Linked DNA regions of Xenopus tropicalis. Each later gene encodes a partner of the first gene's protein in a complex. Links are inferred from orthologs where the notes say so. Each region holds a gene or a part of one and is shown in the gene's direction. Other genes may lie near its edges.

What was found.
Region 2: the proteins of cdca2 (region 1) and ppp1ca are in contact, whole or in part, in a crystal structure (PDB 5IOH), measured with the Homo sapiens proteins. The link is inferred for Xenopus tropicalis from reciprocal best matches to the Homo sapiens genes CDCA2 and PPP1CA. Residues at the interface, in NP_689775.2 of Homo sapiens: Lys391, Arg392, Val393, Thr394, Phe395, Gly396, Asp398, Leu399, Ser400, Pro401, Glu402, Val403, Phe404, Asp405, Glu406, Ser407, Leu408, Pro409, Ala410, Asn411, Leu414, Gly417, Gly418, Thr419, Pro420, Val421, Lys423; in NP_002699.1 of Homo sapiens: Gln20, Gly21, Ser22, Pro24, Tyr70, Asp71, Leu73, Arg74, Glu77, Tyr78, Asp166, Lys168, Ile169, Asp242, Leu243, Tyr255, Phe257, Arg261, Pro270, Ser284, Glu287, Thr288, Leu289, Met290, Cys291, Ser292, Phe293, Gln294, Ile295, Leu296.
Region 3: the proteins of cdca2 (region 1) and ppp1cc are in contact, whole or in part, in a crystal structure (PDB 5INB), measured with the Homo sapiens proteins. The link is inferred for Xenopus tropicalis from reciprocal best matches to the Homo sapiens genes CDCA2 and PPP1CC. Residues at the interface, in NP_689775.2 of Homo sapiens: Lys391, Arg392, Val393, Thr394, Phe395, Gly396, Asp398, Leu399, Ser400, Pro401, Glu402, Val403, Phe404, Asp405, Glu406, Ser407, Leu408, Pro409, Ala410, Asn411, Pro413, Leu414, Gly417, Gly418, Thr419, Pro420, Val421, Cys422; in NP_002701.1 of Homo sapiens: Arg20, Gly21, Ser22, Pro24, Lys60, Tyr70, Asp71, Leu73, Arg74, Glu77, Tyr78, Asp166, Lys168, Ile169, Asp242, Leu243, Tyr255, Phe257, Arg261, Pro270, Asn271, Ser284, Asp286, Glu287, Thr288, Leu289, Met290, Cys291, Ser292, Phe293.

The regions. Positions count from the first base shown.
Region 1 is NC_030679.2:127,759,947-127,763,599, forward strand, and holds part of cdca2 (cell division cycle-associated protein 2), read left to right. Parts: intron 1-1,532; coding exon 1,533-1,660; intron 1,661-2,227; coding exon 2,228-2,315; intron 2,316-3,581; coding exon 3,582-3,653. UniProt on the Homo sapiens protein: Regulator of chromosome structure during mitosis required for condensin-depleted chromosomes to retain their compact architecture through anaphase.
Region 2 is NC_030685.2:494,927-497,589, forward strand, and holds the end of ppp1ca (protein phosphatase 1, catalytic subunit, alpha isozyme), read left to right. Parts: intron 1-665; coding exon 666-800; intron 801-892; coding exon 893-991; 3' UTR 992-2,049; downstream 2,050-2,663. UniProt on the Homo sapiens protein: Protein phosphatase that associates with over 200 regulatory proteins to form highly specific holoenzymes which dephosphorylate hundreds of biological targets.
Region 3 is NC_030677.2:162,952,996-162,957,134, reverse strand, and holds the start of ppp1cc (serine/threonine-protein phosphatase PP1-gamma catalytic subunit), read left to right. Parts: upstream 1-1,202; 5' UTR 1,203-1,380; coding exon 1,381-1,435; intron 1,436-4,139. UniProt on the Homo sapiens protein: Protein phosphatase that associates with over 200 regulatory proteins to form highly specific holoenzymes which dephosphorylate hundreds of biological targets.

The DNA.
Region 1 (3,653 bases):
AAGCCGGACCTGGATTTCTTACTATTGAGTGCTATTCTAATACCTAGTGGGAGCTGCTATCTTGCTCCCTTCCCATTGTTCTGCTGATCGGCTGCTGGGAGGGGGGATATCACTCCAAGTTGCAGCGCAGCAGTAAAGTGTGAAGTTTATCAGAGCACAGGTCACATGGCTGTGGCACCCTGGGAAATGAAGAATATGGCTAGCCCCATGTGACATTTCAAAATTAAATATAAAAAAATCTGTTTGCATTTTTGAAAAACAGATTTCACGCTATGACCTAGCCCCACACGTCTTGTTCTACTGAATTTCCCTGTTGTCCATGTATTTGTATTTTCTGTATCCTATTTATATTATATATCAGTGTTCTTGCATTTGTTTGATTTGGCCAGGGTTATGTGCGTCTTTTCTTGGGCTTTCAACCTGGGGTCTCTGTAAAGTATTATCAGCTCTGAAGGAATTCGGCTATTTATTTTCCATGCCAGAACAAAAATTGTCAAATTCAGTTCTTCACGCATACAGTTTGCATCGGAGAGAGTATTGATTAGGTTGGTGATCGTCGTTACTACTGAGCAGCACTGGCTAGTACCACCACAAACTAAACAGACTAGTGTTTGGCTGCTTAGATCATATTCTGATAAACTGACACAGCTCTCTGGTTTGATAATTCTCTCAATAGTCTGACCTGGTGGGAATCCAGTGTTTTTGTGCTGATACTTACCAAGTTGCATATTGCTCAGCCTTTACATTTCCCTTTAGTTTTGCAACACAGATTGGGTAATATAACAACATACCCCCAGTTTAGTAAGCAAAATGTATTGTTGCTTTCTGATGGAATTGAGTTCCTCTAAGCCAGTGGTCCCCAAACTGCAGCACCAGTACCCCATAGGGGGAGGCTTATTAGGGTGATCTTGTTTACTTATTTTTTATTTACAGTCTTGGAAATCAGTGGAACTGTTGGAGTGTGGCTATTACACATTTTCATATACCTGTAACCGGTTATGAGCTAAGAGGGACCTAATGAAGTGTATGACTGCAGAGGGAGGGGGCACAACTAGAAAATCTCTGAAGGATTCTGCTCTAAACCATTTATGTGTTATGTGTTCCTCTTGGGTGGTACCCAGCTATGGGTAAAGCACTGGAAGAGAAATGTACCTCACATTGTTCCACTCTCACATTTTGTCTTAACCAAGAGAGTTTGCAGCCCTTTTTCTTCTTGTCTTCCACCTCGTCAGTACTAGTGACAGGTAAAGGCGCTGCCAGGCCTCTTGGCATCTGATAGACACATGCTGTGATATCCCTTTTGCACTGATATGTAACTCCCAAGTGAAGGTCAGACCCACTTCTACTCCTGCTGACTTAGGTCATTTCTGATCTCCATGGTGAGGCTGCCTATGTACGACATAGACTTGATATGCAACACTATGGTACTATTAATGTTTTGTGTACAAAGCACTAGTGAAAGCCACTTGTCGGTTTCTGTTGAGATTTAAAGGTGGCCTTCATTCACAACATGCAATATTTTAATTGTCCAGGGGAAGAAACAGCTGAACCTCCGCAGAAGAAGAAAAGAATATACAGTATTTTCAATCCTATACATGAGAATGCAACCAAGAAGCCCTCACCACTAGCCCTTCCATCCCCAGCAGAAAAAGCTACCAAGGTAAGGACAAGGCATTTAAGAAGATATTTTAACTGCATTCATCCCAAGTTCCATTCTTTAACACCATATAGAGAGAAAGTCACAGAGGCACAGAAGGATTCTTTAGTCTGAATGCCCCCCCCAGCCCAACCAAAATGGCTAACCGAATGTGGGCATGCATGGCCAGCTTTAGTCTTATTTTTCACATTTTTCAGTAAAAGCTTAGCAGTAGAAGTAAAGAGAAATGTTATATTACGCTGGATGAGCTAAAATAAATTCCAGTCCTGGTTAGCCCTCACCTGTTATTGTAAGGGCGAAGACACACAGCTACTAGTAGCAGCTACTAAAATACCCTGCCATAGACAATACTGAGAACTGCCTCTGCTAAAACACACATAGAGACAATTATCAGTAAGTGATCAGCATGGTCTTTTTTGTAGATGTGATAAGTAGCTGCTACTAGTAGCTCCGTGTCTTCACCATTAAGATATTCTCTGGCATTGGTATCTTTATAAATATCTTTATTTATTAATTATGTAAGTTTTTTTAATTCTATGGCGCAATGACATACATTCTTTTATCTGTCAGTGCCTCAGCTCCTCTGTGGGCAAGAAGACTCCCAAACCTGACCATAAGTTACCCTCAGCCGTGCCTCCTAACCACTCTAACTCTGCTGGTGAGTACGCTTTTATTATACATTAATGAAACCCATTCATTTTTAAATGGAAGACAAATTGTACATTGCAAAGCTGTGTACTGTACCCCTAGCTCACACCCTCATTGGCCTTCCATTTGTGTAACACTCTATATTGTAGGTTCTTTGACATCTCATAAATAAATATATATATATATACCTAATCTGCAGTGTTTTATGGATGAATAAAGGTATTTTTTTAAAGGATCCTGGTGTGCACCTTTCTACCTCAGAATTTACATATATAACACACACACTATGTATAGCACTCAATAGGTGACAATGTTGGGCTTTGAATAAAATATTTTTTTCACATTGTTAAGTGCTGTTGAGTGCTTTTGAGTGTATTTTTTTCTGATATTCATATATCTGTTGATATTCATATACCTGTTTAGTGCTTTTGAGTGTATTTTTTCTGATATTCATATAAATATGTGAATATATATAATGAACAAAAAAGATGGTGCACTCAAGGGACATTTCAAAAGGCCTCAGTTAATAGAGCTTCTCCAGCAGAATCCTGCACTGAAATCTATTTTTCAAAAACAGATTTTTTTTAGATTTAATTTTGAAATTTCACATGGGGTATTCTTCATTTCCCAGGGTGCTCTGACCTGTGCACTGATAGTCGCACTTTACTGCTGAGCTGCAAGTTGGCATTATATCACCCCCCTCCCAGCAGCCGATCAGCAGAACAATGGGAAGGGAGCAAGATAGCAGCTCCCAGTAGGTATCGGAAATCCAAGTCTGACTTGGGACTCCTCCAGTTACATGGGAGTAGGAGAAACAATAGGTTTCCTGAAAGCAGTTCTAATGTGTAGCGCTGGCTCCTTCTGAAAGCTCAGACTCAGGCACAATGCACTGAGATAGCGCCTACACACCAATATCACATCTACAAATACATTTGTTGGTTGGACATGAGGAAATTTGAGGTCACTTCTAAATTCCATGACCTTCGGACCCATACCTTTATAGCATTATAGCCTCAGTTACTTGTTTTTTTACAATAGTGTGTACACTGTTCACTCTGTATACTATGTATTTTATTATATATATATATTAGTCCTAAGAAGGTCCACTGGAGAAACTTTGTCAAACTTTTCTAGATTATTTCATTTCTATTTTTGAGAACCATGGCATAAATATTTTTTGTCTTAGGTGAATGCCACCTTGGATTATCTACTTATCTTCATTATTTTCCATCAGTATTTTCTGATGATGTCTTTGTCTTCTCCCGTTGTATTCTAGTCGTCCAACCTGCCTTGCTCTCACGCAGTGATGACGTTTTTCAAACACGTTCTCCGAAATCCTTAAAGAGAA
Region 2 (2,663 bases), on another chromosome or scaffold:
CACGGTACGTCTGCTCCGCCCATTCCTTACTCCTCTCCCACCCCAGGTATGTCTGCTCCGCCCATTCCCACCCCACGGTACGTCTGCTCCGCCCATTCCTTACTCCTCTCCCACCCCAGGTATGTCTGCTCCGCCCATTCCCACCCCATGGTACGTCTGCTCCGCCCATTCCTTCCTTCCCCAGGTACGTTTACCCACTAAGTCTTGCTCCGCCCATTCCTTCATCCCAACCCCAGGTATGTCTGCTCCACCCATTCCTTCCTTCCCCAGGTACGTCTGCTCCACCCATTCCTTCCTTCCCCAGGTACGTTTGCTCCACCCATTCCCTCCTTCCCCCCCCCCCCCCGGTATGTCTGCTTTGCCCATTCATTCCTTCCACTCCCCACTTCCCCAGGTACGTCTGCTCCGCCCATTCCTTCTGCCTCCTCCACCCCCCCCCCGTACGCCTGCTCCGCCGATTCCTTACTCCTCTCCCACCCCAGGTATGTCTGCTCCGCCCATTCCTTACTCCTCTCCCACCCCCAGGTACGTCTGCCCACTAAGTCTTGCTCCGCCCATTCCTTGCTTCATCCCACCCCCAGGTACATCTGCTCAATTTTCCCTTTATGACTCCCCCCCCCCCCCCCCCCCCCGCCAGTGGCTCACCCCCGCTCTTGCCCCCCCAGGTGGTAGAGGACGGCTATGAGTTCTTCGCTAAGCGGCAGCTGGTGACGCTCTTCTCGGCGCCCAATTACTGCGGGGAGTTTGACAACGCGGGTTCCATGATGAGTGTGGACGAGTCCCTCATGTGCTCCTTTCAGGTGGGTGCGGGGGGTTGTTCCATCCTGCCCGGGGTGGGGGGGTCGGCCTGCCAGTGTGTTGGGGGGGTAAAACCCTGTATTTTCTCTTGCAGATCTTGAAACCTGCGGATAAGAAACTTTTTGCTTACGGGGGCGTCAACCAGAGCCGCCCCGTGACCCCCCCGCGCAACAAGAACAAACAGTCTAAATGACCCCTAAATACCCCTTCCGACTCTTCCCCAAACCCCTGACCCCTCACACACTGACCTCCTTCCCCAGTCTGCCCCCCCCCCGGCGCAGAGGGCGGGGCCTGGGGATGTTACTTTTACCTCGCACGGGGGTTGGAGAAGATGGGAGGGAACCTGCAAATAGAACCACTTCTCTGCCTTAATCTCTTGTAGCCACAGTGACCCCCCCCCTGCCCCCCACAACTCCCATCCCCCCCCCACAACTCCCAGCGCATCTCCCAGTGGTGCCTTATTGCAGTACTGATCTCAGGGGTAGGTGCAAGTGCACCTTGTGGGGCTGTTCCCGACGTGTTGCCCCTCTGCCCCACTCTACGTGGAAACATGGCCGGACTGGGTGCTTTCTCCCCGCTCAGCGGGGGTTAATGGCATTTCAAGGGTAACTAAGACTTCTCTCTCAGTGATTTGCTGGAGTGAGTCCTGTCTGGTTCCTGTAGTCGTTAGTGAGGTCAGTAATTAGGCTTTGTCCCTGTTGGCATTAAACAGACATGGTATTGCGGAGGTGCATTGTGGGTAAATAGGGGAGGGGCTTGTGAGTGCAGCCTGGGACTCCCTTTCCTCCTAGTGCTGAGTTACTCCTGACCATTCCTGGTGGGGGTGGAGTCACAATGGGGGCAGGCTTTACAGGACACACCCCCTCATGTACTGTACTGTTCATAGGCCGGGGGTTTGCGCCCCCCCCACAACGCTGCTCTTCTCTCAATTCCTCGATTTTTCCTGTTTTGTGATGGTTTTTGGTCAGTGTTACGGCCCGTGAGCGGCTCAGCCAATCGCTGTGCCCGGGGGTGAGCCAATCGCTGTGCCCGGCACTGAGCCCATTGTGCCAGTCTCCTGCCCCTCGCTGGGGGGTGATTGTGTGGGGGCAAGTGAGGTGTCTGTCTGGGGCATGTACCTGCTTGGAGTTGCCAGTAGGGGGGGATGTGGGGAGGGGCTCTGAATGGTATCGGGGGGGGATTCTCGTGTGTCTTTTCTTCTGTAAGAGCTACGGCTTTTTATTAAACCTTTTTATCTCGTTTGAATGGAAACCAAATGTCTCTGTATTTATTCCCCGGGGGGCAAATGTCGCCTGGGCCGGGGGGCAAAAGAACCTACTGGGTCTGCACATCTCCTTAGGGCTGGGCACCTGTGGGGCAGAGGCAGATACCCTTAGCTTCCAGGAGGGGGAGTGCAGGCAGTTTCTCAGGTCTCTCCCTTCTATGTTACGTTATTGTGGGATTTATAGCCTAACTACCCAGAATTCCCGGCTGGCCTATTGAGTGCAGGATACGCGCGTTGGGCAAGTAAAGGGACACGGTCACTGCGGCAGTTTATTCATGGGGGCAAATCATATGGGAGATCTTTATAGACAGACGGGGCATGGGATGGTGGCAGGATGCCAAGGGTTAAATTAAGGGTTTTTGCCCCCACTTCTATGCCCAGCCCTAGTTGCCCCAGTGGGTGTGTCCTGCCCTTCCTGCAGGTGCCACTAGGGGGCAGCACAACAGCTCAGCTCATGGGGTTCAGTGAGATACGAGTTAGAGACCGGCGCTGCCGTCTGAACTCACGGGGCCCCATACAACACAGCGGGGCCCCTGGAAATTTAATGGTTAAAAAAACAAAACCCACATTGGCTGCCAGGGGCCCTAATGTCCCAGTTGCT
Region 3 (4,139 bases), on another chromosome or scaffold:
TACTATGAAATAAAAAAAAGTAAAGGGGTCAGTTAGAAAGGCCCTTGGCACAGATGCAAGAGCACTAAAGGGCACAAGGGCTTATCTACCGAGCACTTGTGTCCAAAGTTGTGCTGTTTTTTGCAGGGAGCACCAGATCAAACATTTAGAATGGTGTTAGGCTGTTGGCAGCCTAGTCCTAACTTTCTACAACATATTTATTTCAATACTGGTGTAGAGATTTCAATTAACACTAAGTTGGTAGGGTAATAATTATTCACCCTGGACTAGTTGAGACACTGGTCTCCTGATCTTCAGGTGTCTGGGTTTCCACTGGCCAAGAAATTGCCAAACCTCCTGGCTGGCCCTGGCCCTGGCCAATGTACAGAAGCATTGATACCTGCACGTTTCTTCTTGCGTTACTAAGCCAGAAAGCATGAAGTCAGGGAGTACAATTATTTGGGGCAAAGGCTTCTGCAACTACTGAGAAAAAACAGCAATTAATGTATTAAATGTGACAGCTTAGGCAGCAGCACTGCCATCAGATGGGACAGAGGGAAATTTGGTCAGGGGCCTGATAGCAAGGGCTTCTCACAAGAGCTGATCTGAGACTTTTGGGCTAGTGGGTGAAGTCTGGGCTGATTGTGGACAACTTGGCAAAAATGGGAGTGAATTCGGGTTTTTTTGGAGCTCCATTGTACTTTTTTGCAGGATCCACTGCTCAGGTGTCAAGGAGTAGCCCCATAATTACTGATGGCAACCCTGTTAGGAGGCTACCAAAAGGTATTTCTGTGTATTAGTTGAAAACAATAAATTTAGCTGACGTGAAGTAGCCATATCTATTTTTATTTTACGTGTATCGTTTTTTCAAAATTACTAAGTATTTCACTTTGTTTTGGAAATTACACCTCATTCAAATATCATTTACAAAACCTAGAAACCCACAGAATGATCAAAGACAATGTCACTGGATCTTTTTTAAAACAAAAACAACCCTCACACGTGTAATGCATTCCTAAAACCGATAACGGTTACCATTTTTTATATACGCAGTACTAACTTTTGGCACTAGAGAAAAAATAGTCCTAGCTCGCAAATACGGCCAAATTTCAGAAACGGCTGGCGCAATGAAACACAGCGTGGGTTGAGATTTGACTGTACGTGCTATCGCCTGGGTCTTTAAAATGTACCAGGTCGTGCATAGATATTCATGCGCGGGCCGGCAGGGGAGGAGGTGGCGCCATTTTGTCAGGTTCTTGGGAGTCTGTAGCGGAAGACGAGCGAGGGGGATTGAAAAGCCGCTGCGGCGCCAAGACTGCCCCCTGCCCGGTTTCCAGTACGTTTGGGCTTCTGTTTTTATTGCGACAGTTTACTGGGTCCGCCATTTAGACTTTCGGAGCAATGGCAGATGTTGACAAGCTTAACATCGACAGCATCATACAGCGACTGTTAGAAGGTGAGGATGGTACTCGGGAAGGCCTGGCCGGGTTTCCTTACACTCTGTCACTTTACTTTCATGTGGTGGCAGGGTTGAAAGGGTTGCCATTAGCTATGTATGTGAGTGAGCAATGATGTATACACGGTGTTATTATTGGGGCAGCGGGGTTTGTAGCATCCTGGCTGGGCTCCTTGTGCTGAGATTGATATGGCAGTTGGAGCGGCTGTCAGCCTGCAGTTGCGTTACGGAGCCGTTACCGGAACAGGACTTTATTCTATACTCCGGTACATACAGGGTGCCGCTCTGATTGCTCATAGTATATATCTAGTTAATCAGGCTGTTGTACGAGTTATTGGCCGGACTGGCCCAATATACATTGTATAGAGGCGATCCGCTGGCTCCTAGCCGCTGCATGTGTATTCCATGTGCAGAATCCGGATTCACCCAGTATATCCGATCCTTAACACTGCGCAGCGCTCCATACACCTGGGAATCGCAGCGATCCGTATAGGGACCAAGGTGCTTCAGACTTTAGATTGAACTATGATTATTGCTCACTCCATAGGGGGCATGTTGTGCATTAGCTGATTATTTCCATTTGCCTTAGTTGACCTTCATAACTGTGTATATTGCCAATAGGTGGGGGTTATCCTGACCCTGTGCCACAGCTGTGCTGCTCTCACTCGCAGCTTTACTGATGCACTATATGGGGGAGTTGGAAGAATAGATTGTGTCATTTTGTGTAGTTTGCCTTTAGTTATGGGCAATGGGTGAGCAGCAATGACTGGATCTATTTTCATTTGTTGTTCTCATTAGTAAATTAATGCTGATGTGGTGTGACTTTAATGAGGAAATGTAAGCTACTAGCTCTGTGTAGAGGTGCCATTACATTTTCTTTTTTTTTTCTCTAACACTTTTTGCTCCTCGGTTCTCTATTTGGCAACTTAGGCTGCAATTCCCTTGTGGGGTTACAGGTCCTTGCAACCAGTTACTTGTTTAAAGGGCAACTGTGATAGGAAAATTGTTTACGGCTAATAGACCCTGCAACTCGGGTGGAAGAAAGCAATACTATTAGTGGGCATCTATTTATGGTATATAGTCTATATACATATATTTATGTATATGTAATGAGTTAACTGACTTACTCATTGTGAACATTCCTGTTGTGATGCACGCATTCGCATGAATGTGCCAGCTTATGTTTAGGCTCCAAATATGGCTGCCCACTTTACACTACCTCCTGGTGTGGACAGCATAGCCCTATTACATACAAAGCCAAAGTGTTTTTTGGGGCAAAATGTATAGTTTGCCCCAACCAGAATGCAGGCTTAATTAGCCCATATTTTCTGCGGTGAATGCAATTTTCTTGTTTTCTTTCTACTTCAAATTGAAGTACAAATAGTGAGTAAAAAAGGACATAATAAAAGCCTTGCAATGATTCTGAATTCCTAGTTCACTGACTTGCATTCACATGGCATTTTAGACCTTCAACTGTGAATATAAAGTAAATAAAAGTCAAGATTTTAATTGTATAAATCTGCAGCATACTAAATGTTAATGACTAAAATTCTGTAGGCTGATATGCTAATGTATTTGTAAGGGCAAAATATAAGTGGTTGTGTCCAGACAAGACAATGAAACCTTGTTGCTCCTATATTTTACATATATTAAAGGGGCATTATACCCAGTTTTCACCAGTAAAAAAAACATTGGCTGAGCTGGAAAAGAAAAAGGGGGTCAGCAAAAATATTTGCTTGCCCCAACACTCCAGCTGAAACCGAAGTTCTCTTGCTGTAGGCGATCAGATTCTTCAAACAACTGTCGTACCACCTTCTGTAACTATTAGTCTAATATTTAGGCGCAGGCCGAGCAAGGCTGGATTCCACCCAGCAAAAAACACATGGGGAACAATAATACCTCCTTTCTCAACATTTGTTTAATAAATAGGGGCTGAATATACTTATGTCTTTTGTTTTAATTGTGAAAAATCTCATTTTTATTTTGTGAGCTAAACAGGAAAACTGAAGCTATTCCATGTTTGGTCCTTGCGAGGTAGATTTTTAAAAATTGAAATGGGCAAAAAGTGTTCCGTAGAAGACCTATTTATTGATCTATTGTTAAACAAGGGGGGATACTGCACCTTTTAATGGAGACATATTGGATTTTTGAAAGTCACTCTCGTGTTGGTAACAATGAATAATATATGGTGCCTGATTCAGTGCCCTTAAGTGTTTACTCTGAAAATGTCACATTTAGAGAAGCTACCCATAGATCCTCTTGTCTATTACAAATGAGATGTGGGCTTGTCCTGACTTCTCCAATTTAAATATTGTGGAACGACCTAACTTAAACTGTTCATGTGAGGAAACCCACAAACATCCAAAAGCTGAAGCTGTTCTGTATAGAGGAATGGGCTAAAATTCGATGTGCAGGACTGATCAACGTTTGCTACAAACATAAAACATGTTTACATTTACTAATTCACGAACGCTCCGAGCGTATTTTTGGTGACTTTTTCGTACTTTGCGACAAAATTTGTGCGACAAAATCGTATTGTCGCGCTGAGTAAGAACGTTTTGGATACATTCAAGCTTTGGTATCGTGACTTTCCTTGGGCCAGGTTGGAGCTGCACAGTGCCATTGATTCCTATGGGAGAATTTCCTTGGGCCGGGTTGGAGCTGCAGAGTGCCATTGAGCCCTATGGGAGACTTTCCTTGGGCC